Linked DNA regions of Anolis sagrei. The protein of the gene in region 3 interacts with the protein of the main gene of each other region in a biochemical or structural test. Links are inferred from orthologs where the notes say so. Each region holds a gene or a part of one and is shown on either strand. Other genes may lie near its edges.

What was found.
Region 1: of the proteins of CDKN1A (region 3) and AKT1, one has a biochemical effect on the other in vitro, tested with the Homo sapiens proteins (2 studies listed by BioGRID, with this or other methods). The link is inferred for Anolis sagrei from reciprocal best matches to the Homo sapiens genes CDKN1A and AKT1.
Region 2: the proteins of CDKN1A (region 3) and PARP1 form a complex in vitro, tested with the Homo sapiens proteins (2 studies listed by BioGRID). The link is inferred for Anolis sagrei from reciprocal best matches to the Homo sapiens genes CDKN1A and PARP1.
Region 4: the proteins of CDKN1A (region 3) and PSMA3 form a complex in vitro, tested with the Homo sapiens proteins (4 studies listed by BioGRID). The link is inferred for Anolis sagrei from reciprocal best matches to the Homo sapiens genes CDKN1A and PSMA3.

The regions. Positions count from the first base shown.
Region 1 is NC_090021.1:328,325,102-328,332,213, reverse strand, and holds the start of AKT1 (RAC-alpha serine/threonine-protein kinase), read right to left. Parts: upstream 3,027-7,112; 5' UTR 2,656-3,026; intron 1-2,655. UniProt on the Homo sapiens protein: AKT1 is one of 3 closely related serine/threonine-protein kinases (AKT1, AKT2 and AKT3) called the AKT kinase, and which regulate many processes including metabolism, proliferation, cell survival, growth and angiogenesis.
Region 2 is NC_090021.1:39,857,603-39,864,695, forward strand, and holds the start of PARP1 (poly [ADP-ribose] polymerase 1), read right to left. Parts: upstream 3,014-7,093; 5' UTR 2,926-3,013; coding exon 2,806-2,925; intron 1-2,805. UniProt on the Homo sapiens protein: Poly-ADP-ribosyltransferase that mediates poly-ADP-ribosylation of proteins and plays a key role in DNA repair.
Region 3 is NC_090024.1:187,209,906-187,216,883, forward strand, and holds the start of CDKN1A (cyclin-dependent kinase inhibitor 1), read right to left. Parts: upstream 3,005-6,978; 5' UTR 2,996-3,004; coding exon 2,794-2,995; intron 1-2,793. UniProt on the Homo sapiens protein: Plays an important role in controlling cell cycle progression and DNA damage-induced G2 arrest. Involved in p53/TP53 mediated inhibition of cellular proliferation in response to DNA damage.
Region 4 is NC_090021.1:334,685,891-334,693,449, forward strand, and holds the start of PSMA3 (proteasome subunit alpha type-3), read right to left. Parts: upstream 3,012-7,559; 5' UTR 2,904-3,011; coding exon 2,883-2,903; intron 1-2,882. UniProt on the Homo sapiens protein: Component of the 20S core proteasome complex involved in the proteolytic degradation of most intracellular proteins. This complex plays numerous essential roles within the cell by associating with different regulatory particles.

The DNA.
Region 1 (7,112 bases), on a different chromosome or scaffold from region 3:
GTAATGTTTGTTGCTTCCAACTACTGTATGCCCATGGGAGAAAAGTGGTATATAAATAAAGAAATAATGCATGTGTATACAATGCATGTGTGAGATATATATGTGTGTGTGCGCACGCGCATTGTATGTATAGATCTATGCATGTTTGTGTCTAAAGACATGCACATACAATGCATGTGCATTGTGTTTGTGTGAATATATATATATATGCATTGTTTATGTGCATGCATGTGTGTATAGATCCATGAATGTTTGTGTCTAAAGTCGTGTGCATAAAATGTGTGTGCATTGTGTGTGAGAGAGATATGCATTATATGTATACTGTAGATGTATGCATGTTTGTGTCTAAAAGTATGTGAATACAATGCATGTGCATTGTGTTTGTGTGAGTATATATATATATGCATTGTGTGTATCTATGTGGATGTATGCATGTGTGTATAGTTCTATGTATGTTTGTGTCTAAAGGCATGTACATACAATGTGTGTGCATTGTGTGAGAATATGTATGTTGATATATGCATTGTGTTTATGTGCATGCATGTGTGTATAGATCCATGCATGTTTGTGTCTAAAGTCGTGTGCATAAAATGTGTGTGCATTGTGTGTAAGAGAGATATACATTATATATATATACTGTAGATGTATGCATGTATGTGTCTAAATGTATGTGAATACAATGCATGTGCATTGTGTTTGTGTGAGTATATATAATATATGCATTGTGTGTATCTATGTGCATGTATGCATGTGTGTATATATCCATGTATGTTTGTGTCTAAAGGCATGTGCATACAATGTGTGTGCATTATGAGTCTATATATATGCATTATATGTATAGATGTATGCATGTTTGTGTCCAAAGGCATGTGAGTAATGTGAATACAATGCATGTGCATTGTGTGTTTGCATTCTGAGTATATATGCATTGTGTGTATAGATTTATGCACGTTTGTATCCAAAGGCATGTGCATACAATGCATGTGTAGTGTATGTGCGCATTATTTGTATCTATGTGCATGCATGCACATATAGCTTGTATTTCAAGGCATATGCATACAATGTGCGTGCATTGTGTGTGTTTTGTTTTCTGAGTATATATGCATTGTGTATGTGTCTATTGTTTGTATCTATGCGCATGCATGCATGTGTATATAGCTTATGCCTAAAGACATGTGCATACAATGGGTGTGCACTGTGTTTGTGAGTATATATATATAGAGAGATGCATTGTATCTATGTGCATGCCCGAGTGTATAGATCTATGCATGCTTGTGCATTCTGTTTTTGTGTGAGTATATATATATCAGAGAGAGATGCATTGTATGTATGTGCTTGCATGTGTGTATAGATCTATGCATGCTTGTGCATTGTGTTTGTGTGAGTATATATATATATATATCAGAGAGAGATGCATTGTGTATATGTGCATGCATGTGTGTATAGATCTATGAATGCTTGTGCATTGTGTTTGTGTGAGTATATATATACAGAGAGAGATGCATTGTATGTATGTGCATGCATCTGTGTATAGATCTATGCATGCTTGTGCATTGTGTGTTTGTGTGAGTATATATATATACAGAGAGATGTATGTGCATGCATGTGCATGGTGTTTGTGAGTATATATATAGAGATGCATTGTGTGTATGTATGTATGTGCATGCATGTGTACAGATTTATGCATGCTTGTGCATTGTGTGTGAGTATATATTATTTACAGAGAGAGAGAGATGCATTGTGTATATGTATGTGCATGCATCTGTGTATAGATCTATGCATGCTTGTGCATTGTGTGTTTGTGTGAGTATATATATATATACAGAGAGATGTATGTGCATGCATGTGCATGGTGTTTGTGAGTATATATATAGAGATGCATTGTGTGTATGTATGTATGTGCATGCACGTGTACAGATTTATGCATGTTTGTGCATTGTGTGTGAGTATATATTATTTACAGAGAGAGAGATATGCATTGTGTATATGTATGTGCATGCATGTGTGTATAGATCTATGCATGCTTGTGCATTGTGTTTGAGTGTGTATATATATATATACATACAGAGAAATGCATTGTGTGTATGTATGTGCATGCACGTGTATAGATCTATGCATGCTTGTGCATTGTGTGTTTGTGTGAGTATATATATATATATACAGAGAGAGATGTATGTGCATGCATGGTGTTTGTGAGTATATATATAGAGATGCATTGTGTGTATGCATGTGTATAGATTTATGCATGCTTGTGCATTGTGTGTTTGTGTGAGTATATATATTTACAGAGATATATATGCATTGTGTATACGTGCATGCATGTGTGTACAGATCTATGCATGCTTGTGCATTGTTTTTGTGAGAGTATATACACAGAGAGAGAGAGAGAGAGATGCCTTGTGTGTATGCATGTGCATGCATGTTTGTGTCTAAAGGTGCATGCATATATATATATAGAAAAGCATGCCTCTGTGTCTGTGTGTGTGTGTGTGTGTGTACACACCCATCTCCAAGCATCTAGGCCTTTCCCCCGAAGCTTTGCATCCAGCCCTCCTCCTGGACAATGAATGCACCAAAGGGACACCAAAATAGGAAGGGAGGGAGCCAAAGGAATCACCCCGAGGGAGGGAGGGAGGGAGGCCCGGGCCCACTTACATGCCGCCGAGGGAGGAGGAGAAGAGGAGCTGAGGCCTAGGAACGAAGGAAGGAGGGAAGGAAGGAAGGAAGGGCTGCAACCTCCTCCTCCTCCTCCTCTTCGTCCTTTCCTTCTGCTGCTGCTGCAGTTGCGGCTCCGGCGCGAGGGATCAGCCCATGGAAAGCAGAGCAGAGCAGCCAAGAGAGGGAGGCAGCAAAGGAAGCAGGCAGGCGGCGCGCGCTGCGGGTCTCTGCTGCTGCTGCTGCCGCTCTTCTCCTCCTTCTTGTTGCCTCTGCCGCCTTGGCTCCTGCGGCGGATCCCAGTTCCTCCCGCTTCCCTCCTTTGACTCACTCGCGCCCTGGGTGAGTGTGTCTGCGTGTCTCCCTCTTCCACCCGCCCCCCGACGGCGTCCGCGCGGTCCTAACGCCCGCCTGTTCTTTCCTCCTCTTATTCCCATCCTTTTTTGTTTTTTAATTACAATCCTTTCATTTTTCTTATTTTCACTTAAAAAAAAACAAAAACAAACCGCTTTGAAGAATATTTTATATTTAGTTTTTTTATTTTATTATTTTCTAAATACTTTTATATTAGGATACTAATTTTTTATTACAATACTTATTTTTCTTATTTTTCTCTTTTTCCCATCTTTTTAAAATTACAATCCTTTCATTTTGCTTATTTTCACATTTTTTAAAAAAAACACCCTCATTTAAGAATATGTTAGATTTAGTTTTGTATTTTATGATTTTTTTCAATACTTTGATATTAGGATACTATTTTTTATTACAATACCTTTGTTTTTTCTTATTTTTCTTTTTTCCCCAACTTTTTTTTATTACAATCCTTTCGTTTTTCTTATTTTCACTTTTTAAAAAACACTTTTAAGAATATTTTATATTTAGGTTTATTTTATTTTATTATTTTCTAAATACCTTTATATTAGGATGCTAATTTTTTTATTACCATACTTTCATTTTTTTTCCTCCTCTTTTTTCCCCATCTTTTTTTTTAAAAAATTACAATCCTTTGATTGAGTATTTAAAAAAAAAACGCAAAAATTACAACAGCAAAACGTCCCCGCCGGCTTCACAAGCACGCCTGGCGGGGACGAGAGACAGGGCCTTCTCAGTGGTGGCCCCTCGGCTGTGGAACGCCCTTCCTGCAGATATTAGATCGACCCCCTCCTTGCTGGCATTCCAGAGGAAAGTAAAGACCTGGCTGTTTGAACAGGCATTCAACTAAGCACTGTGATTGATTGACTGACTATCGGAACACGGAATATCGGATAACGAGTTTGGATTCTGATTTCATTGAGGAGACCTGATGGATTTGTTATATTGATGTAGTGATGTATTGATATTGATGTTTAATGATTTGTGATGCTATTGCTTTTAAATGCTTAATGATTTTGTATTGTGCCACATCATGAGGAGACAGCAAAGCCTAGAGAAGACAATTATGCTGGGGAAAGTGGAAGGCAAAAGGAAGAGGGGCCGACCAAGGGCAAGATGGATGAATGGCATCCTTGAAGTGACTGACTTGACTCTGAAGGAGCTGGGGGTGGTGACGGCCGACAGGGAGCTCTGGCGTGGGCTGGTCCATGAGGTCACGAAGAGTCGGAGGCGACTGAACGAATGAACAACAACAAATACCTAAATTGTTGTAAACCGCTCTGAATCGCCTAAGGGCTGAGAAGAGCGGTATACAAATAAAGTTAATAAATATACAAATAATGGTATCCTTGAAGGGACTGGCTTGACTCTGAAGGAGCTGGGGGTGGTGACAGCCGACAGGGAGCTCTGGCGTGGGCCGGTCCGTGAGGTCACGAAGAGTTGGAAGCGACTGGGTGAATAAACAACAACAACGAAATACTTTTCTGTTAGGATACTTTTATCTTTACTTCTGAATACTTTTGTTTTCATTGTTCTTCCTGTTGTTATTTGTAACACTTTTATTTATTTATTTATTTATTTACTTTGCTTATATACCGCTGTATCTCAAGCCCGAAGGCGACTCACGGCGGTTCACAAACAGTAAAAACAGTAGAAACAGCAGTGATTCCATACAACATATAACAATTGACTTAACACATTATCCATAAATTACCAATAAGCAATTACAATGCACAATTATTGGTAATTTATGGATAATGTGTTAAGTCATTTTTTGCTTTTATGGTAATATTTTTTATTATTTATTATATTTAGTTTTTATTCTGTCTGAGATTTTGTAATGCTTTTATTTTTATTATGATGCTTATATGTTAGGGTACTTTTTAAGCTTTATTTTTGATTTTATAATATTTTCTTTGTTCTTCTTATTGTTATTGGAATACTTTTATGCTTATTATAATTTTTGTTTATTATGTTTAGTTTTTCTTTTCTTTTTTCTTTTATGATACTTCTATATTAGGATACTTTTATATTGGGATATTAGGGTACTTTTATTTTATTAACTTTATAATCTTTTTATTTTCATTGTTCTTATTTTTATTGGAATAATTTTATTTTTATGATAATATTTTATTTATTATCTTTTGTTTTTGTCTTTCATTTAATAATACTCTTATTTTTATGATGATACTTATTTAAGTTTTAAGTTATTTAAGTTTTATTTTTGGTCAATTTTTATTTAGTATTAAGTTTATAGTTACGCTGTCTTATATTGTTTGATGTATCCTGTTTTGATGTAATTTGTTTTTATGTCTTTTTATTGGCATTCAGTGTTTGCCATATATGGTGGAAACCTCCCTGAATCCCTTCAGGGAGAGAGGGCAGTCTACAAATAAAGGTATTATTACTATTATTATTATTATTATTATTATTATATTAGAATGCTTTCATTTTGATCTTCATGTTGTTTTTGGTTTTATAATTGAAATACCTTTGTTTTATTATATCTTTATTTTTATCTTTATACTGCTTTCATTTTTATTCCAGTACATTAAATTTCATTTTTTCTATTGATAAAATACTTTTGGTTTTGTTATATTTTATATTTTGTTTTTTTATTTATACTTTTTCATTTTTCTTATTTTTATACAAATGCATTTAGTTTTATTATAATGTTTTATACTGAGTATCTGTTTGATTTTTTAATTTAAAAATATTCTTATAGTTAGTCTTAGGATACTTTCATTTTTAATCTTTATTTTATACTTTTTATTTTTTATTATTATCCTTCTTATTTTTATTATTATGCTTGTTTTCATTGATTGACTTACATACTTTGATATTGTCCAGCCTTGCTCCCAATTTACGGACTCAAAGCTGCAGATAGCAAACATGACACAATGCAATTATTTTTATTACATTATATTATTTTATGTGACTGGCTTGACCTTGAAGGAGCTGGGGGTGGCCACAGCCATCAGGGAGCTCTGGCGTGGGCTGGTCCATGAGGTCACAAAGAGTCAGAGGTGACTGAACGAATAAACAACAACAACGATTTTAAAAATTATTTTAATTGTGACACTATTATTTTTATATTTATTATATTTTTATTTTATTATACTTTTATCTGTTATTATTATTGCGCCAACTCCACTGGCTGCCGACTTGCTACCGGGCTCAATTCAAAGTGCTGGTGTTGACCTTTAAAGCCCTAAACGGTTCCGGCCCAAGCTACCTTTCCGACCGCATCTCGGCCTATGAACCCACCAGGACTTTGAGATCTTCCAGGGAGGCCCTGCTCTCGATCCCGCCAGCTTCACAAGCACGGCTGGCGGGGACGAGAGACAGAGCCTTCTCGGTGGTGGCCCCCCGGCTGTGGAGCGCCCTTCCCACAGATATTAGATTAGCACCATCTCTAATGGTCTTCCGCAAAAAAGTAAAGACCTGGTTATTTGTGCAGGCGTTCGAATAATTAGTGCAAGACTGGTAATGACATAGGAATGGAACAATGGATAACACATTTGGATCATGTTTTTAGTGACGAGACGCTAGTGAATGGTTATCATAGTAATCGTGTATTGTGTATTAGATTAGGGTATTAATTGTTTATATTGGTGTTTGAATTCTGCTGTGTCCTGTGTCTTGTGAACCGTTGTGAGTCGCCTTCGGGCTGAGAACAGCGGTATAGAAGCAAAGTAAATAAATAAATAAATAAATTGTTTTTATTGTGATACTTTTATTTATTTGTTTTTTTACTTACTTTGGTTGAAGCATCTTCCGCAGAGTCCACTGCAAACTCTGCACAACCAATCTGTGTAAATGTCTAAAACAGCCACTAGGTGGCATTCAGAAACCTTTTACTGTTGCCACATTTTTCATCACCCCATTTAGTTGGGATCAGGACCCACAGTTTAAGAAGCATTGGTCTAGAACAGGGGTCCTCAAACCTTTTAAACAGAGGGCCAGGTCACAATCCCTCAAACTATTGGAGGACCGGATTATAATTTGAAAAAAACTTGAATGAATTCCTATGCACACTGCACATATCTTATTTGTAGTGCAAAAAACACTTAAAAACAATACAA
Region 2 (7,093 bases), on a different chromosome or scaffold from region 3:
GACCATCTAGAGAAACTACTTCTCAAGGCACCTGTAAGTCTCCCAGTGCTTCCAAAGGAGTCAGGATAGAAGACCTAGAGATTTCTAGAGAGGTAATCCCTTAGGTAATTTTTAAAAAATTGCTCCCTTCCTTCATTTTCAGTGAATGTGGAGCATTGACTGTGTGTGTGGTTTTTTTTAATGGACTACTGTCTTGATGTTTCTGAAGACTAGATTACAAGGAGACCTTTCTCCCAATAACAAAATACAATGAAAATGTTTAGCACTCCTGGCTCCCTGGGCATCAAGATTGCAAGAACTTTCATGCAAAAGTATAGCAAGAAGTCTTGCCCAGAAAAAGTAAGGACAATGCAAGTCCTTGTATTTGCTAAGTGCTTTGAATCCATTATAACTGCTACATCCAAGAGAAAGAAAAACAGCATAATTCTGGAGGGATCTATAGACAATCCTGTTCAAACAAGTATCTCCTACAGAATTCAAAACAATATGCTCCTCTTTAAATCTACTACAGACGGACTCTGCAAATAATTTAAGTATAGCTTGAGCATTCTTTACCAAGAATTCCAAAATGACCCAAAATTATCCACATGTGTGTTTGAGATCATGAAACATTTGCTTTCTGAACTCTCTGCTCCAGAGTGTGGTGGAGGCTCCTTCTTTGGAGGTTTCTAAACAAAGACTGAATGTCCATCTGTCGGGGGTGTTTTGAATGTGATTTTCCTGCTTCTTGGCAGGGAGTTGGACTGGATGGCCCATGAGGTCTCTTCCAACTCTATGATTCTATGAACATGCCTAAAAACACTATATAGTTCAGCCTTAAACATTTTCTTTAAAAGGTAGGCGAGCGCACACCATATGGCAAAGCAGGACTATGGTTGTATCTACATCATTGAATTAATGCAGTTTAATACCACTTTAACTGGTCTGGCTCAATGCTATGGAATCCTGGGAGTTATTGTTTATTTATTGATTTACTGCAGTTGTATACCACTCTTCTCACCCTGAGGGGGGACTCAGAGCAGTGTACAGTATGGATACATAAACATGTACAATGCCAATATATTAGTGTTACTATATTACAATATTATTCTCTGTACTGATCCAAACTATCAAAATGTATCAAACCACTTATACAGTGCTTGGAACATGGCATTCTATAGCCAAAGAATGCATCTTTTCAGCAGGGCTTTTATCTATATAAATAAAAATGTAATGTTCGTTTGTGGATTAACATAACTCAAAAACCACTGGACGAATTGCCGTCAAATTTGGCCACATAACACCTACTAACCCAATGAGTGACCATCATTTTAAAAAATTGAATTTTGTCATTTGGGAGTTGTAGTTGCTGGGATTTATAGTTCACCTACAATCAAAGAGCATTCTGAACGATGGAATTGAGCCAAACTTGGCACACAGGCCTCTCATGACCAACAGAGAATACTAGCAGCGTTTGGTGGGCATTGACCTTGAGTTTGGGAGTTGTAGTTCACCTACATCCAGAGAGCACTGTGGACTCAAACAATGATGGATCTGGACCAAACTTGGCACAAATATTCCATATGCCCAAATATGAACACAGATGGAGTTTGGGGAAATAGATCTTGACATTTGGGAGGTGTAGTTACTGGGATTTATAGTCCACCTACAATCAAAGAGCATTCTGAACCCTACGAACGACAGAATTGGGCCAAACTTCCCACACAGAACCCCCATGACCAACAGAAAATACTTAAGGCTATCCAGTCCAACTCTCTTCATCAGGGCAAGAAAACATAATCAAAGCCCTCCTGACAAAGAGCCATCTAGTCATAGATATAGATATATATGACTAGCCCCCCCCCCCGCCATGCTTTGCTGTGGCCTAGTGTATCTGTGTTTTGTGTGCATATATATGTGTGTTTATGTATGTGTGTGTGTGTGCACACGTGTGGTTTTGTGCATGCATTGTAATGTGGGGTTGTTTTTTTTTTTTTTTTTGCTTTTTAAGTTTCTTTTGCTGTGTTTTTCAGTGTTTTTATGAGTGATGGCCACTCGTTGGCCTGATAGGTGTCTTGTGTCCAAATTTTGTGTCAATTTGTCCAGTGTTTTACGAGTTATGTTAAGCCCACAAACCAACATTACATTTTTATTTATACAGATTCACACACACACACACACAGAGATATAGTATCATAGATTTGAAAGGGACCCCTAAAGAAGGACAATGATATGTTTTATGTTCCAGAGTAGGTTTTATGTTCCAGACACTCTCCACATCAACACTGACAAAAAAAAAAACCCAATAAGAAATACTGTTTACACACAAGCATAAAGAAATTACATATTTTAGAAACAAACACTTTCTCATTACTTCATTTTCCAGATCACCAGACTGGGCCACAGCAACGCATAGCAGGGGACGGCTAGTATTATAATTATTTCTTTAAAAACGCTTCAGAAACAAGCTCCAATTTTGCATTGTTTTTTCGTGTTGTGAGAATCTTTTGAGTCTCTTTTTTCCAGAGAGATAGATAAGTGAAACATAGATAAATGCAATGATAATCATGACTCCCAGATGGATATCTTATCTACCCACTCCCTCCCTGCAGTGAAGAGCAGCAAAACCTTCCCAGAGGCGACATAATAAATAGAAAGAGGGGGCGTGTTCCGTGCATGAGTGATGCCCCAATTTAGGCTCATGTGCAAGAGCTGCATGATACATAGGAGTCTGCACTGACCCCAGGCTGCCCTGCGAATGGGGCCTGAGGCTGCGAGGCAACGTGGCGCTGCTCCCGGCTGCGAGAAGGAACAAGAAAGGCTGACCTGCACCATGATGGCCAGGCGGAGCGAGTCCTTGGCGATGTTGTCGCCGCATTTCTTGCACGAAGCCCGGCCGCTCTTGGCGTACTCGACGCGGTACTGCTTCTCTGCAGGCTCCGCCATGGCTGTGCTAGGAAGGGAAGGATGCGAGCAGCAAAAGCAATGGGGGCAGCACGCGGCGCATTGGAGGCTCTTGCCAGGCTCTCGCAGTTCAATGCCGAGCGCAGAGAGATCGAACCCTGCTTGGCTCTGCTCTCAATCCGTTTCGGCGATCGATTAGGCATGCCGCGTAGGAGGGAGGCTTTTAGAACGTTGCCCGGGAATCAGCAGAGCTGATTCCCGGGCAACGTTCTAAAAGCCTCCCTCCTACGCGGCATGCCTAATCGATCGCCGAAAGGGTCCTGCAAGGAAGCACGTTCTGGGAGTTGTAGTTTCCCATGTCCTGCTCAAAGGATCGTCCAGTACAATGACTAGGATTTCATTCCATCTCCACTGGCTCAATGTCATCCGATTTTGGGAGTTGTAGATTTGCAACTCATACATCATAATAAATTGTGGCAAGTTCTTGGTGGGATGGGCATTACAAGCCACCTTGTCTCTCTCCTGAGGAATCTGTATAAGGAACAAGTAGCAACAGTCAGAATAGACCATGGAACAACAGACTGGTTCAAGATTGGGAAAGGCGTGCGGCAGGGTTGTATACTTTCACCCAACCTATTCAACTTGCATGCGATGTGCGGGGCTTGACGAATGCAAGGCTGGGGTGAAAATTGATGGAAGAAACATTAACATTAGGTATGCAGATGATACCGCTGTGATGGCCAAAAGCGAGGAGGAGCTAAGGAGCCTTATGTTGTTGTTCATTCGTTCAGTTGTTTCCGACTCTTCGTGATCTCATGGTCCAGTCCACACCAGAGCTCCCTGTCGGCCGTCACCACCCCCAGCTCCTTCAAGGTCAATCCAGTCACTTCAAGGATACTATCCATCCACCTTGCCCTTGGTTGGCCCCTCTTCCTTTTTCCTTCCATTTTCCCCAGCGTCATTGTCTTCTCTAAGCTTTTCTGTCTTCTCATGATGTGGCCAAAGTACTTCATCTTGGCCTCTACTATTCTTCCCTCCAATGAGCAGTCAGGCTTTATTTCCCGAAGTATGGACTGGTTGGATCTTCTCTCAGTCCAAGGCACTCTCAGAACTTTCATCCGGCACCACAGCTCAAAAGCATCAATCTTCCTTCACTCAGTCTTCCCTATGGTCCAGCTCTCACATCCGTAGGTGACTATGGGGAATACCATTGCTTTGACTGTGTGAATCTTCTTTGCCAGTGTGATGTCTCTACTCTTCACTATTTTATCAAGATTGGACATTGCTCTCCTCCCAAGAAATAAGCATCTCCTGATTGCACGTAGAAATACAACGTCTGTCACTGCCTTCACGTTGGGTTGCAGTTATATATATATATATATATATATATATATATATATATATATATATATAAAACAAGATTATGGCAACTGAACTGATTGACAACTGGGAAATAGAGGGAAAAAACATGGAGGCAGTGACAGACTTTGTATTTCTAGGTGCAAAGATTACTGCAGACGCAGACTGCAGTCAGGAAATCAGGAGACGCTTACTTCTTGGGACCAATCTTGATAAAATAGTGTAGAGACTTCACACTGGCAACGAAGATCTGCATAGTTAAAGCAATGGTATTCCCCATAGTCACCTATGGATGTGGACCATAGGGAAGGCTGAGCGAAGGAAGATAGATGCTTTTGAACTGTGGTGCTGGAGGAAAGTTCTGAGAGTGCCTTGGACTGCCAGAAGATCCAGTCAGTCCATACTTCAGGAAACAAAGTCCAACTGCTCATTGGAGGGAAGGATATTAGAGGCCAAGATGAAGTACTTTGGCCACATCATGAGAAGAAAGGAAAGCTTAGAGAAGACAATTATGCTGGGGAAAATGAAGAGGGCCGACCAAGGGCAAAATGGATGGATGGTATCCTTGAAGTGCTTGGCTTGACTCTGAAGTAGCTGGGGGTGGTGACGGCCAACAGGGAACTTTGGCGTGGGATTTTGTTCATTTTCTTTCCCCCCCCTTTCTGTTGAAATTGTCCACATGCTCATGGATTTCAATTATTTCTCTGTGCAGTCTGATATGGTAGTTGTGAGAGTGGTCCAGCATTTCTGTGTTCTCAAATAATATGCTGTGTCCAGGTTGGTTCATCAGGTGCTCTGCTATGGCTGACTTCTCTGGTTGAAGTAGTCTGCAGTGCCTTTCATGTTCCTTGATTCGTGTTTGGGCGCTGCGTTTGGTGGTCCCTATGTAGACTTGTCCACAGCTGCATGGTATACGGTAGACTCCTGCAGAAGTGGAACGCCCTCCCCATGGAGGTAAGATCAGCCCCCTCATTGATGGTTTTCCGGAAAAGACTAAAAACCTGGATGTTCGAGCAGGCGTTCGGTTAACTCAGTGCAATAAGTGTAATGATTGAAGGACTGGCAATTTGGACTACGAAACTGGATCGCGATTTTAGTCAAGAGATGAATTGGATTGTTTATTGATATATGTATTGTGGATCGTGTTTTTATGCTTTTAAACTGTATACTGTTGTTTGTTATAAGTTGTAAACCGCGTTGAGTCGCCGGCTAGGCTGAGAAGTATAGCAAATACAAGTATAGCAAATAAATAAATAAATAAGTGAGAGGATCCCTCTTGTCCTTTGCTTAACGCAGCATGTGTTAGATCTTCTTAGTGGGTCTGTAGATTATTTGTATGTTGTGTTTCCTCCTCAGCTTCCCTATGCGGTCGATGGTTCCCTTGATGTATAGCAAGAACACTTTTCCTCTGGGTGGATCTTTGTCTTTACTCTTGTGGCTTGTTCTTGGTTTTGCAGCTCTTCTGATGTCTGTGGTGGAGTATCCATTGGCCTGTAGAGCTCAATTTAGGTGGTTCAGTTCCCCTTGGAGGAATGTCCAGTGGGAGAAAGAACTTTGAAGCTGCAAGACTATTCAATGCTAATCAAGCTGGCCAATTGCAACATTCACATTTGCCTCAAACAGACATTCCACAGATATATAAACCTCACTTGCCTAGCTTCAAACAGACCTTATACCCTCTGAGGATACCTGCCACAGATGTGGGCGAAATGTCAGGAGAGAATGCTTCTGGAACATGGCCATATAGCCTGGAAAACTCACAGCAACCCATTATTGTTGTTGTTGTTGTTGTTGTTATTGTACAGTAGAAATGCACCCCAGCAAACCTAATAAAATTATATCTTACAAAAATTACTGTAATTAACTGTGAGTAATTAACTGTGAGTAATTGAATCCATGAATTCAGAATCTATGGAATGTGAAAATCGTCTGTAAATCAGTTTGAATACCATCTCGATTAAAAAAAATATCGAAGCACTTCAAAATGCAAGGAATTTGCTTTTGAGGATCTGGATCCAAGGGCTGCAGAGTGAAAATTCCTTTTTGATGAATGTGTCTTTTGGAGTTAAATGTACCCTTAATCAGTAAACTCATAGTGCAGTTTCGCTGTACTGACCTGTATTACATAAATCATTATATGGCAGTGTAGATGGAGCCACAATGGTACTAACTTCTGAGACAACATGTCTAAGGTTATACTACTTGTAGTATTACCATTAGGTGTACACTGCTTTGCAGAACAAAGCTCCCTCAAATATATGTGAAACCCCTGAGTCAGGCTATTAAGGATTTTTTTTCAGGGCCTTCTGGCTGACTCAAGATAAAATACCGTATTGCAGCATCTGTTGTGTATCTTTAAGTCATTTCTGATTTACAAACTTCTTAGGGCAAACCTATTGCAAATTGTTCTGGCGCCAAGAGAATGTGACTTGCCCAGGGTCACTGTTGTGCTTCCGCAAGATTTCCCACTGTTTGTTCCTGTTGAACCCCTATTATGTATACAGTGTTCCCTCGCTACTTTGCGGTTCACTTTTAGCAGACCCGCTGTTTCGTAGGTTTTTGAAAATATTAATAAAAATATTAAATATTAAATATTTACATCCAGTGGACGCCAGGGACCCCAAAAGCGGCTTGAGGCATGGCAGGGAAGGCCTGCCTCCCTGGCCTCCACAGACCCCGAAAGTGTGGCGGGGAAGGTCTGCCTCCCTGGCCTGTGCTGCCTGCATGGCTCCGGAGGCATTGTGGAGGCCAGGGAGGCAGGCAGGTGCTCTTGGGATGGGCCGGGAGGCAGGTAAGGAAGCACAGATAAGAAAATAATATATAAAATATATAAAATAATGTATAAATATTA
Region 3 (6,978 bases):
TGTTAATATTATATATAGCTATAATTGTTTATTTATTATGTCAATATTAATATTATGTTGCTGTTCATTCATTCAGTCGTTTCTGACTCTTTGTGACCTCATGGACCAGCCCACTCCAGAGCTCCCTGTTGGCTGTCACCACCCCCAGCTCCTTCAAGGTCAATCCATTAATATTATAGTTATATTATAATTGTGTACTGTATTATTACTATGTAGATATTATATTATAATGATGTATTAGATCGTTAATAGTATTAGTTATGTTATAATTGTGTACTGTATTAATATTAGGTCGTTATTAATATTATGTTATAATGGTGTATTGTATTAATATGCCAATATTAATATTATAGTTATATTATAATTGTGTGCTGTATTAATATTATGTTGATATTAGTTATTTTATCATTGTGTATTGTATTAATATTATGTCGTTATTAATATTATATTATAATGGTGTGGTGTATTATGTCGAATTAATATTATAGTTATATTATAATTGTGTGCTGTATTATGTCGATATTATTTTATAACTGTGTATTGTATTATTACTATGTCAATATTAATATTATAGTTATATTATATGATAATTGTGTATTGTATTAATATTAGGTCGATATTAACATTATAGTTATATTATAATTATATATCAATCCATATACAGAGAAGATATATAATTAAATACATATTCAAGTCGTGGATACCGAATCCACGGATACGCCGGGGGAGGGCGAGTGCATTTCATCAGAAGGAAATGACAATGGTAGCAAGGGAGCCTTAGCAGTGCCAAACGAGCAGCGAGTTCTGTGCAGTGCTTCTTGCCCTAATAAGAAAAGAAAAAAAAATACTTGGGTCGAGTGTGTGCGCGCGGCGGCAGCAGCAGCAGCAACAACAAGATCCCAAGTCAAGTCGGGAACACGGAGTTCCCAAGCAAAGCGCGAGAGAACATCGCGGGTCTGGCGGGGAGTCAAGAGAACTCGTGCGCCTTTCGAGTCCCACCCAGCAGCACAGCAGCACAGCAGCAGCAGCAGCACTTCCCTCCCTCCTGCTTTTTCCTGCCTTCGTCAAGCCAAGGCGAGGGGATGCTTCTGCTTCTGGCTTATGCATCCTCCTCCTCCTCCTCCTCCTCCCCTTCCATTCCCTGAGCCCAACCCTGGGCCCAGACTCTGATCTCAGCCCCAGGAAAGCGACCGTCACCCTGAGTCACAGGCGGCGGCAGCAGAGGCAACACTCTCCCCTCCCTGGAGTCCAAAGGCAGGACATGCCCTGGCAAGCTCCCCTTCCCGGAGACTCCACAGCGCCCCGTGTGGCCAGGCAGGGGAACAGCCCCGGCGGCGACAGCAGCTCTTCAGACCACATAGAGCAGGCATGGGCAAACTTCGGCCCTCCAGGTGTTTTGGACTCTGGAGTCCAAAACACCTGGAGGGCCGAAGTTTGCCCATGCCTGCTCTATATGCTCTATAGATGAGTACCTACCGCGTCTCTCTCGCCCCCCCCCCCAACCCTGAACAAATGAGACAGCCCAATTCCTGAGCGCGCATTCCAAGTCTCTTCGAACAAAGCGGCCGCTACCATTGGGGTCAAGGGGGGGGGGGGGAGGCTGAGAAGAAGGTGAGGTCAGCTTCCTTCTCCTGCGATGGGCATGACCGCCATACGCGGGTTTGGCCGCTGGATTGAAGCAACCTTTTGGGGGGATCTGGCTCGGTTTCAAGGCGACAGGTTGGTCAAAGGTGTCGAGGGGGAAAATACGGAGGGAAAAGGCGCCCTGGAAAGGGAGGACAGGTGGAAAGGGAAGCCAAACATCGCCTAATGAAGGACCAAGGACCAGTCCTCTCCTCCGACATAAAAGGGAATTGGAGGAGCAGTCCACACAGGGGGAAAGGGACAAGATGCTTCGTCCCAAGGGGAGAATATATTTATTTATTTGCCATATTTATATTCTGCCTTTCTCAGCCCGAAGGCGACTCAAGGCGGCTTACAGTCGGCAATCAATGCCCCAGACATAAATATAAGTAAAAACGTTAACATGTAATATAAGAAACAATAAAAACAATATTGTATATATTTCTCCATGATATCCTTTGTATTTCCTCCCTTTGATGGGGTTAATATTTCTCTCTGTGTATGTATATGTGTGTGTATATATATATACATACATACACACAGAGAGAAAATATATATTTCGCCTTGACATCCTTTCTTTTTCCTTCCTTTGATGGGGATAATATTTCTGTGTGTGTACACACACTATCTATCTATACACACACACACACAGAGAGAGAGAGAAATTAGCCCCGTCAAAGAGAGGAAATAGAAAGGATGTCAAGGCGAAAGTGATAACTCACAGCCTCTGAGGATGCTTGCCATAGATGCAGGCGAAACGTCAGGAGGGAATGCTTCTGGAATATGGCCATACAGCCCGGAAAACACACAGCAACCCAAAAGTGATACTACTTATAATGGCATTTGGGGGGGGGGGGGTTAGGGAGAGCCGAGGAGGGTACATCAATAAACATAGAAGTAATACATACATATACATACATACATAGTATTTCCTAGTTTCCAAAAAACCTCACAACCTCTGCCATAGATGCAGGCGAAACGTCAGGAGAAAATGCTTCTAGAAAGCCAGTGATTCAGGCCATGAAAGCCTTCAACAATATGTATATAGAGCCCAAACTATATATATAGATCCCACTATAATATACACCCCAAACTGTCCTCTGATAGAGCTTGCAAAGCTACCCAAAGACAGCAAAATATGAAGCCTTCCCAAGCAATAGAGGCGCTCACCTCCCGTAAAGCTTCTTTCTCCTTCTCTTCTCCTTCTCTCCCCTCTTTCGACAGTTCTGAGCTCCAGATTCCACCGCAGGGCTATATATATAGGCGGCGAGGCCCCGCCCCCTCCGCGCGAAGGGGGCGTGGCCTGGCTGCATTTGGCCCCGCCCAGGAATTTCCACAGAACCTCCTCGCTGCGCTTTGTCACGATACACATACTACCTTCCCGAGCCCCGCCCCTCCTCCTCCTCCTTCCCAGGCTCGCGCCCAAGCGCCTGCGGCAATTGCATCTGCAGCGCTGCAGAACGAATGCAGTTTGATTGACGCTGCTGGAGCCCTAGGAGTTGTAGTTTTACAAGGTCTGCTGCTCTCTCTACGAAAAAGTGCCGGTGCTGACCAAGCTACAGCACCTAGTTCTTTGGCAGAGAGGGCTAAAAGGTCTTGTCAAACGGCAACAGTCTTGAACAGGCATGGGCCAACTTGGGCTCTCACTCCAGGTGTTTTGGACTCCAACTCCCAGCATTCCTAACAGCCTCAGGCCCTTTCCTTTCCCCCCTCAGCCGCTTAAGCTGTTAGGAATGCTGGGAGTTGGAGTCCAAAACACCTGGAGTGAGAGCCCAAGTTGGCCCATGCCTGAACTAGATGTATCTTGCTGACCCTTCCAATTCTGTTGCCCCATTTTGTTGTGTCTCTCTGGACTGAATCAAGATCTCTATGCCTCCGAAAACCGTGTGAAAGTCACCCACCACATTCTCAGATTTAGCAAAAGCTGGCTTTGTACCCTTCTCTCCAATTACGCGAGTCGAGTTGGCTTGCCAGGCCTCCTCAGGCTCAGAAACTGGGAAGAGGCTGTGCCTATTAAGCACTCAGGGCTGGCACCTGTCAGAGCAAGGTGTGGAACCTGGAGGCCCTCCGGGATTCTCTTAAAAGAGATCTGAAAGTCTTTGGTAGGATTACTATCTTGTTTCCCATGCATTTTGAAATCCCTGTGTGCCAGTGCCAAGAATCGTTCTTGGCCTATAAGGGGAATCTGTGCATAGCAAGAAATGCCCCTAGAATTGGCACCGGCTCTGTCCAGATTTGCAGCCGTCGCCAGCCGCAATGTACATTCGGCAGCCAAATGCACCAAGGAGGCCAACAACCTAGATCCACATGACACTTTGAATATTTTCTCTGTCAAAGAAAATGCTTTAGATGACAAGAATCCTTCCTTTCACACACATGTAAGTGTAGTGAGTTCAATCAGGACCATTAAAATGTGGAAAAGATCACATCCCTCAAGCTGCACAATGAAGGATCCAGTAGTGTGAAGAGTGGAGTGACAATATGTTGTCGAAGGCTTTCATGACTGGAATCATGAAAAGAATTCATATGGTAACAGAAAGTCCAACACTAATTATCATCATTATTGTGTTGTCGAAGGCTTTCATGGTCGGAATCACTGGGTTGCTGTGAGTTTTCCGGGCTGTATGGCTATGTTCCAGAAGCATTCTCTCCTGATGTTTCGCCCACATCTATGGTAGGCATCCTCAGAAGTTGTGAGGTCTGTTGGAAACTATGCAAGTGAGTTTTGTATATCTGTGGAATGTCTAGGGTGGGAGAAAGAACTCTTCCCTGTTTGAGGGAAGTGTTCAGCCAGGAAGCAGTCAGGCTTTGAAGCTGCAAGGCCACTCAATGATAATCAAGGTGGCCAATTGCAACATTCACACTTGCCTCCAGCAGACCAGAGTTCTTTCTCCGACCCTGAACATGGCACAAATATATAACCCCCACTTGCCTAGTTTCCAACAGACCCCTCAACCTCTGCCATAGATGTGGGTGAAACGTCAGGAGAGAATGCTTCTGGAACATAGCCATGCAGGCTGGAAAACTCATAGCAGCCCGGTGGAGTGACAAATAGACATTTATTGATCAAAGTTTTGCTCACGGCAGCCAGGTCCGGGAGATCCACACCCCCCCCCCCCCCCCGCTCCAAATTCTCATGGTGGTCCGCGAGAAAGCCTTACTGGTACATTATTTAAACTGTTATGTTTATTCATATCATTATCTGATCACCATGCTCAGTATATCCCATATGCATGGGGGTATTGGGATAATGATACAAAAGGTTTGCTATGATAGATCCTGACCCCCCCCCCCCCCCCCCGGCGAATCAAAATCCTGGCTATGGACCTGACTGCAGCAATATGCTGGGAGACAGACTACACATGTTGAGCATCTGTATTTCATACAGTAGGACCCTTCCCTTATTTTGAAAGCCCATTCATTGCAAACTATATTTGTCCCTCTCTCCCCATCAAAATATGTGAGCACTGTAATATCAGAGAATCAGAATCTATCTCAGTGGTTCTCAACCTGTGGGTCCCCAAGTGTTTTGGCCTACAACTCCCAGAAATTCCAGCCAGTTTACAAGCTGTTAGGATTTCTGGGAGTTGAAGGCCAAAACATCTGGGGACCCACAGGTCGAGAACCACTGATCTAGCTACAAAAGTCTGTTTAATTGTCCAAAAAGAAATGGATGTTGTAGCAGTTTTCTTCAAACTTTCTGACCAGCTATTTCCCCCCTAATAGTCCAAAGACTGATATCACATTTGACTACAACAGATTCTTCTTTCGTGGAAAGTTACTGTGGAAAGTTACCAATTCATAGATCACCACTTTTGAGTTGCACTGATGTACACAGTTTTCATGCTGTTTCACAACCTAACTAGACATAGTAATAATATAATAATAATTGTAAAAAAAACCCAAACAAACCTTTATTTATATCCCACCACCATTTCCCCGAAGGGGCTCGAGACAACTCACAAAAGCACTCAACAGTGCAAACATACAACTACAGCAAGTGCATAAAAATAGTACGATAACTATAACAAATAGTACGCCATAAAACCCTACTAGTTAAAAATCAATAAAATGCAACAATGACTGCAGATATAAAAATATATAAAATAAACTGTGATTAATATCAGCCCCATAAAGTGCTAAGGTGAAACAATAGCTGAGTCCTCAGGTATAATCATTAAATAATTCCTAAACAAGGCCTCTTTGAAGAACTAAGTGTTCCAATTTGTTCGGAAAACTTGGAGAGTAGGAGCTAATCTAATCTAATCTTTTTTGGGAGGGCATTCCAAAGCCAGGGGGCCACCCCTGAGAAGGCCCTCACTCTCATCCCCACCAACCCTGCTTGAGACCGAGAGGAGGGCCTCCCCGGCAGATCTCTGAGCCCGCACTGGTACATAGAAGGAGATGTAAATACAAAGATCTTGACAATCCCAGAATCTCATAGTGGTCATGGAGGAAAAACCTCTGGGAGTTATAGGTTTGAGAAGATAATTTTCTCCCTCTGCTACAAAACTTCAGTGGAACCACTAAGGTTGGTGTCACCCAATGTGGTAACTCACAATGTCACCCTGCTGGACTTCCTTCTGTGCCAGGCCAGACCACAGTATTGCAGCTAAAACATTAGAGCCAGTCCACTCCCCCTTTGATAAAACCCACCCAGCTTTCTGCTCACAGTAAGCTTTTCTATGGAAAGTTCTTCCAATCCATCAGTTTAGCCTTGGTGGCCTTTTGTCAACACTTTGATAGGAGAGGAAGGAGTGGAGACCAGGTTCTTCCCACCTCCTCTACCATTCAAGCAGGACAACAAGAAACTACCAGCTTCTCCATCTGTGTCTCTTATCCAAGACTCTCAAAAGGGAATGGAAGAGTTTTCATATTGTGAATCAGGAGATTCATTAAGTCAGACTTGGCCATGATAGTCCATGCTCTTGTTACATCTAGAATAGACTACTGCAATGCACTCTACATGGGGTTGCCTTTGAAGACTGTTTGGAAGCTTCAGATGGTCCAATGGGTGGCTTCCAGGTTGCTCACCATAGCGGCGTACAGGTCACCATAGTGGCGTACAACTCCCCTGTTGCATCAGCTTCACTGGCTGCCAGTTTGCTACCAAGCACAATTCAAAGTGCTGGCTTTAGCCTATAAAGCCCTATATGGTTCCGGCCCAGCTTACCTGTCTAAATGTATCTCCCTCTATGATCCACCTTGGAGGCTAAGATCATTCTGGGAGGCCCTGTTCTTGGTTCCACCCCCCATGCATGTGCGACTAGTGGGGACAAGTAACAGGGTCTTCTCAGTGGTGGCCCCTCATCTATGGAACTCCCTCCCGAATGAAATTAGATTGGCCCTCTCCCT
Region 4 (7,559 bases), on a different chromosome or scaffold from region 3:
GAACCATCTAGGACTTTAAGATCGTCTGGGGAGGCCCTGCTCTCAATCCCGCCCTCATCACAAGTATGTTTGGTGGGGACAAGAGACAGGGCCTTCTCTGTGGTGGCCCCTCGGCTATGGAACACCCTCCCTAAGGAGATTAGATCAGCTCCCTCATTCTTAACGTTTCGGAGATAAGTTACGACATGGTTATATGAGCAAGCATTGTCATTCAACAATGGAACTTGGACAACGTTATTTAACTAGGAGACGCCGATGATAATGATGTTGGTTTTGTTGTTTTTATTGCTTCTATTGTGGTTTTATACTGTTTAAATGTTTAATTTGTTGTTATTTGTTGTTATTTGTTATTATTATTATTATATTGAGTATTCGTGCCAAGTTTGGTGCAGATCCATTATTGTTTGAGTCCACAGTGCCCTCTGGATGTAGGTGAACTACAACTCTAAAACTTAAGGTCAATGCCCACGAAACCCTTCCAGCATTTTTTGTTTGCCATGAGAGTTCTGTGTGCCAAGTTTGGTTCAATTCCATCATTGGTGAGGTCCAGAATGCTCTTTGATTGTAGGTGAACTATAAATCCCAGCAACTACAATTCCTAAATGACAAAATCGTAATTTTTGAGTGATGGTCACTCCTTGTGTTGTGAGACGTTTTATTGCCAAATTTGGTGTGATTACCCCACCAGTGGTTGCATTTGGGCATATTCTAGTCCCAATACAATGTATAGCATTGTATTGTTTTGTTTATTGTTTTTCTGTTTTATTGATGTGCTGTTGGGCTTGGCCTCATGTAAGCCGCACCAAGTCCCTTGGGGAGATGGTGGTGGGGTATAAATAATAATAATAATAATAATAATAATAATAATAATAATAATTGAGTATTCGTGCCAAGTTAGGTCCAGATCCATTATTGTTTGAGTTCACAATGCTCTCTGGATGTAGTCGAACTACAATTCCAAAACTCAACGTCAATACCCACCAAACCCTTCCAGCATTTTCTGTTGGCCATGGGAGTTCTGTGTGCCAAGTTTGGTTCAATTCCATCATTGGTGAGGTTCAGAATGCTCTTTGATTGTAGGTGAACTATACATCCCAGCAACTCCAATCCCCAAAAATAACTCCTCTCTCCCAATCGCACCAGAATTCTAATTTGGGCGTAACGAGTATTTGTGCCAAATTTAGTCCAGGGAATGAAAATACATCCTGCATATCAGATATTTACATCACGTTTCATAACAATAGCAAAATGACAGTTTATGGCTCAAACCCAGAACCTCAACCAATGGCTGATACCAAATGAGAGACTCCCCCCTGGGCACACAGAAGACTGGGCGACTTGGAAGGCGCTGAACAGACTGCGCTCTGGCACCACGAGATGCAGAGCCAACCTTCAGAAATGGGGCCAAAAAAAGTGGAATCCTCGACATGCGAGTGTGGAGAAGAGCAAACCACTGACCACCTGCTGCAATGCAACCTGAGCCCTGCCACATGCACAATGAAGGACCTTCTTGCAGCAACACCGGAGGCACTCCAAGTGGCCAGATACTGGTCAAAGGACATTTAACCAACTACCAAACTCACAAGTTTTGTATTTTGTCTGTTTGTTTGCTTTGTTCTGTTACAAATGTAATATAATTGACTGGTTGCTCTGACACGACAAATCAAGTTTATTTATTTATTTATTTGGGGTGCTTCTACCACACCTTTCTCAACCCCCTAGGGGGGACTCAGGGCGGCTTACAAAAGGCACAATTCGATGGCCGACAATTCACAAAATACAATATACAAAATTCCAAGATAATGTCAACAATTATAACTAATTAAAACAATCAAAATAATACAGTCACAGCCAGGCCCATAGCTAGGATTTCGTTTCGGGGGGGGGTGTGATTTTTTTTCAGGGGGTTTTCGGGGGGGCTGAGTAAACTCTGAGGTCGAAGGCCTGGTCCCACATCCAGGTGTTTAACTTCCTTCTGAAGGAGAGGAGTGCATTCCACAGGCGAGGGGCCACCACCGAGAAGGCCCTGTCCCTCATCCCCACCTGTCTCACTTGTGATAAAGGTGGGGCCGAGAGCACCCAGAAGATCTTAAACTCTGAGGTCGAAGGCCTGGTCCCACATCCAGGTGTTTAACTTCCTTCTGAAGGAGAGGAGTGCATTCCACAGGCAAGGGGCCACCACCGAGAAGGCCCTGTCCCTCGTCCCCACCTGTCTCACTTGTGATAAAGGTGGGGCCAAGAGCAGGGCCTCCCCAGAAGATCTTAAACTCTGAGGTCGATGGCCTGGTCCCACATCCAGGTGTTTAACTTCCTTCTGAAGGAGAGGAGTGCATTCCACAGGCGAGGGGCCACCACCGAGAAGGCCCTGTCCCTCGTCCCCACCAGTCTCACTTGTGATAAAGGTGGGGCCGAGAGCAGGGCCTCCCCAGAAGATCTTAAATTCCGAGGTGGGACGTAGCAACTAAAATAGTTTTATGGTTGGGAGTCACCACAACATGAGGAACGGGTCACGGCATTAGGAAGGTTGAGCAACACTGTTATATAGGAAAATAGATGGTGTAATGCTTTAAACATTGGACTATGGATGTGTCTATACCAGTCATAGGCTGTTAGGAATTGTGGGAGTTGAAGTCCAAAACACCTGGAGGGCCCAAGTTGGGCCAGGCTTGGTCTAGAAGCTCCTACTTGATTCCTTCGCTTTCGCTTTCCCTTCAAGTGAGTCAGCGGCCTACAACTGGCTAGGCCTCTCTCTACGAGTCGCGCGGATATGACGTCACCGCACTGTGTGAGGCCGAGACCCTCGAAGTGAGGAGAGATTAACCACCACCGCCTTTGTTTTCCTTTTCGGGGGAGCCCTCTCCCTTCTCCTCTACCTGACTTACCCCGGTGCCGATGGAACTCATGGCGGAAGAGGCCTGAGAGCAAACAGCCGGCCCTCCTGATTCTTCTTTGCCGCCGCCTCACTCACACTGCTCAGTCACTGCTCAGCAACGCGCCCAACCATTGGACAACCGCCTCTGGAGCTTCGACCAATCTCCTCTCGCCGTTAGCAGAAGGGGCGGGGCCAAGAATGCGCCCAGTCACGGCAGCCGCAGTTGGCGCGCGGCAGCAGAGGAAAAGAATGCGCATGCGTAGAAATCCACAATCGATAATCTGCGAATACGCATGCGCGAAGAATTCCACAAGGAAGGTTCTGTGAGGGGTCTTTGTCAGCGCCCGGCTAGCTCAGTCGGTAGAGCATGGGACTCTTAATCCCAGGGTCGTGGGTTCGAGCCCCACGTTGGGCGGGTCAGTTTTTGTTTACATCAAAATCTACAAATAAAACCTATTATTTCTCCTATTATGGTAAACTGAATAGCTGGAATCTTCTTTTAAAAGCTCAATTCACCTCTTTGGGACTTCATCAACAATAACTGTGTCACAGCTGTACAAGAAATTGACTGAAAAAAAAATTCCTTATATTTTTCTTTTATATTTCCATCAGAATCACAATATGCCAAATCTAGTGAGAGCAACAAATGTTGCAACATATATTATATATACTATGAATGTTTCAACTGACCACTTTAATTAGCATTTGATGGTTTGGCAGTGCCTGGGGGAATCTTTTTTTGAGAGGTGATTACATGTGCCTACATAGGGACCACCAAACTGCAGACTACTTCAACCAGAGAAGTCAGCCATAGCAGAGCACCTGATGAACCAGCCTGGACACAGCATATTATTTGAGAACACAGAAATGCTGGACCACACCAACAACCACCATGTCAGACTACACAGAGAAGCCATTGAAATCCACAAGAAGCATGTGGACAATTTCAACAGAAAAGAGGAAACCATGAAAATGAACAAAATCTGGCTACCAATATTTAAAAAACTCTAAAATTACAACAGCACAACAACAGAGAGGAAACAAACAAGGACATCTAATCACCTCTCAAAAAAGTTTGCTCTAGGCACTGTCAGAGAGAGGAGATTCCATCTGAACAGCAGGAAGAGCTTCCTGACTGTGAGAGCCGTTCAGCAGTGGAACTCTCTGCCCCGGAGTGTGGTGGAGGCTCCTTCTTTGGAAGCTTTTAAACAGAGGCTGGATGGCCATCTGTCAGGGGTGATTTGAATGCAATATTCCTGCTTCTTGGCAGAATGGGGTTGGACTGGATGGCCCATGAGGTCTCTTCCAACTCTTTGATGTGCCTGATTGTTTCCCCTCTGTTGTTTTGCTGTTTACAGAGAGTAAACAATCAGGCACATCTAATCACCTCTCAACAAAAGATTCCCCCAGGCACTGCCAAACCATCAAATGCTAATCAAGGTGGTCAGCTGAAACATTCACACCTAGCTCCAGCAGACAAGAGTCCTTTGTCTCACCCTGGTCATCCCACAGATATATAAACCCTTTTTCCTACTTCCAACAGACCTCACTACCTCTGAGGATGCTTGCCATAGATGCAGGCAAAACATCAGGAGAGAATGCCTCTAGACCATAGCCATATAGCCCGAAAAAACCTACAACAACCCTGTAAATTCAATTACTTTTACATTCAGGTGAGAATGTACATATGCAGATGAACAGAAAATTATCTTCAGATCCCTCCAGCTGTACAAGAAATTGACTGAAAAAATATTTCCTTATATTTTTCTTTCTTATTTCCATCAGAATCACAATATTCCAAATCTAGTGAGAACAACAAATGTTGCAACATATATTATATATTATATATATTATAACTGTTGCACTCCAGGTCAGGAAAAAGCCCTCTGACTTTAAAACACACCACACGAAGAGTGAAGAAACAAATATGTTATTCAAGCTTAGTAAATAGCCAGAAGTAATAAATGCTTGTAAGAAAATAAGAATGTTCCAAAAAGTGGTAAGTCCATAAAAGGTAGTAACACAAAGCAATGTCCACACCAGATATAAAAGCAATCCAAGACAGCATTAATCCAGACAGGAATCAACAGGATGCAAAGACAATCCAAAAGGCTAAAAGACTCCAGAGAAACAGGACCCCTTGAACAGGATTTCCATTTATTTATTTATTTATTTTATTTGCTGCATTTGTTGACCGCCGTTCTCAGCCCCTTAGGGCGACTCACGGCGGTGTACAACATATAAAAAACAGTTTACAATAAAGCACGACAAAAAATCAACATATCACTAATACACACTAATATAATTATACTAAGGTAATCCGCTCCGTCTTATCGTAGAATCATAACCAAACTCGTAATCCATATTCCGTTCCAGTTGTCATTACCAGTTGATGTACACTTAATTGAATGCCTTCTCAAATAGCCATGTCTTTAGGCTCTTACGAAAAGACATAAGGGAGGGCGCCTGCCTGATGTCAACAGGGAGGGCGTTCCACAGCCGGGGGGCCACCACCGAGAAGGCCCTCTCTCTCGTCCCCGCCAGACGTGCCTGTGAAGCAGGCGGGATCGAGAGAAGGGCCTCCCCAGACGATCTCAAGGCCCTCGTGGGCTCATAGGCCGAGATGCGGTCTGAAAGGTATTTTGGGCCGGAACCGTTTAGGGCTTTGTAGGATAACACCAGCACCTTAAATTGGGTCCGGTAGCATATCGGCAGCCAGTGGAGCTGGAACAACAAGGGCGTTGTATGCTCCCTGCGTCCCGCTCCTGGCACATGAACTTGATTTCCAAACGATGCCTGATCTAATAGGTTTCCCCTTGAGGCAAACCTTATACCCCAAAACTCAGAAATTGGTTTCGCTTTCTCCCACATTTACCCCTTATCAGGCAAAGTTTTTCAGAGCAACGAAAACACTGAAGTTTGCTGTCGATCCTGGCTAATCACCTGCAGCCTATTCTTCAGCTCCCTTTCTGGCTGCTCATTAAAATTCTCAGGTGTCAGATTGTTTTCCAAACCCAAATCTTGAGAGCTCATAGAGGGAGGGAGGGAATTATCATTGCTAGGCCCATATTCTCATGAGAAACTGCAGTGAAGTGACAGCTTCCCTGGTGGCCAGAAGCTGGAATGTTAAATAGCCTCTGAGTGTCGGCCTATATATGTTGTGTGTCTATGCCATTGTGTTGTGGCTCACTTTGAGCCTGAGCTTTCTGAGCCTGAGTTTCCTCAGGACAAGGAGGAGGATGGGTTACAGATTTCTGTCCCTGTTGTTGAGACAGACAGTGTTGATTCTGAAGAAGAGACGGCATTTCTGTTTCCCAGAGAAGGGTATGTTGTTTTAGATCATGATTTAAGTGAATCTTCACATCTGCCGGTGGAGTCGGCCGCTCCATCTGGGAGCTCAGTGCCTCTTGGTTCCCAGGATAACCAGTCTCAGGATAATGAGTTATCTGGCCTTGAAGGTGATGGAGATTTGATTAGGGAGGACTGTTTGCAATTAAGGATATGTCAAAGTGCTCAGCTTGCCAACAAACGGGAAGTTTGAGGTCAACGTAATGCTTTCATGCTAGGGAAACATATTTAACGATCTGATTGAAGTCAATCCTTTGCCAGTGCAATGTTGCTTAAACCCCGTTAACCTCTCTGGAATTAACTCGGCTTTTGGGGAAAGCTTTTAGCTCTTTGGGACTTAGCTTTTGATCTTGGTTTTTGGGGACCTTGTCATGCTGCCATGGATTCTTGTTTAACCAATGCTAATGGATTATACTTCATGTTATTTGCCTTTGGATATTGGAAACTTTGCCTTTGCATTTAAGACTCTGTTTTGGCTATTCTTCAGCTCCCTTTCTGGCTGCTCATTAAAATTCTCAGGTGTCAGATTGTTTTCCAAACCCAAATCTTGAGAGCTCATAGAGGGAGGGAGGGAATTATCATTGCTAGGCCCATATTCTCATGAGAAACTGCAGTGAAGTGACAGCTTCCCTGGTGGCCAGAAGCTGGAATGTTAAATAGCCTCTGAGTGTCGGCCTATATATGTTGTGTGTCTATGCCATTGTGTTGTGGCAACCTTATTCAGAAACCTTATTCTTATGTTTCTGATTTTGCTTTTTCTTCAATAAACTACGAAACCTACAGCCTTGGAGTGTGGTGTTGTTCTGAGCAAGGTGAATCTATCCTGAGCTGCGACACATTGGATATTTGTCATGTATATGTACATTGTAATCCGCCCTGAGTCCCCTGCGGGGTGAGAAGGGCGGAATATAAATACTGCAAATAAATAAATAAATAAATAAATAAATAAATAAATAAATGTAATGTAATGTTCATTTGTGGGATTAACATAGCTCAAAAACCACTGGACGAATTGACACCAAATTTGGACACAAGACACCTATCAGGCCAACAAGTGACCATCACTCACAAAAACACTGAAAAACACAGCAGAAGGGACTTAAAAAGCCAAAAAAGCAAAAAGATGCTACAACACATGCACAAAATGACTCCCCCAGCAAACAAAACACACAATAGCAACAGCATATCCACACTCTGTTCTGGACTACATCTCCCAGCATCCCCTAGACCAGGCCCTTTAGGAGAGGAGGATGCTTCAAATGCACTGCTTCCAAGCAGCAAGCTTTCTTCTCCTTGGATTTATTTGAGAGCATCCCAATCCCTGCATATTTCCAATGTC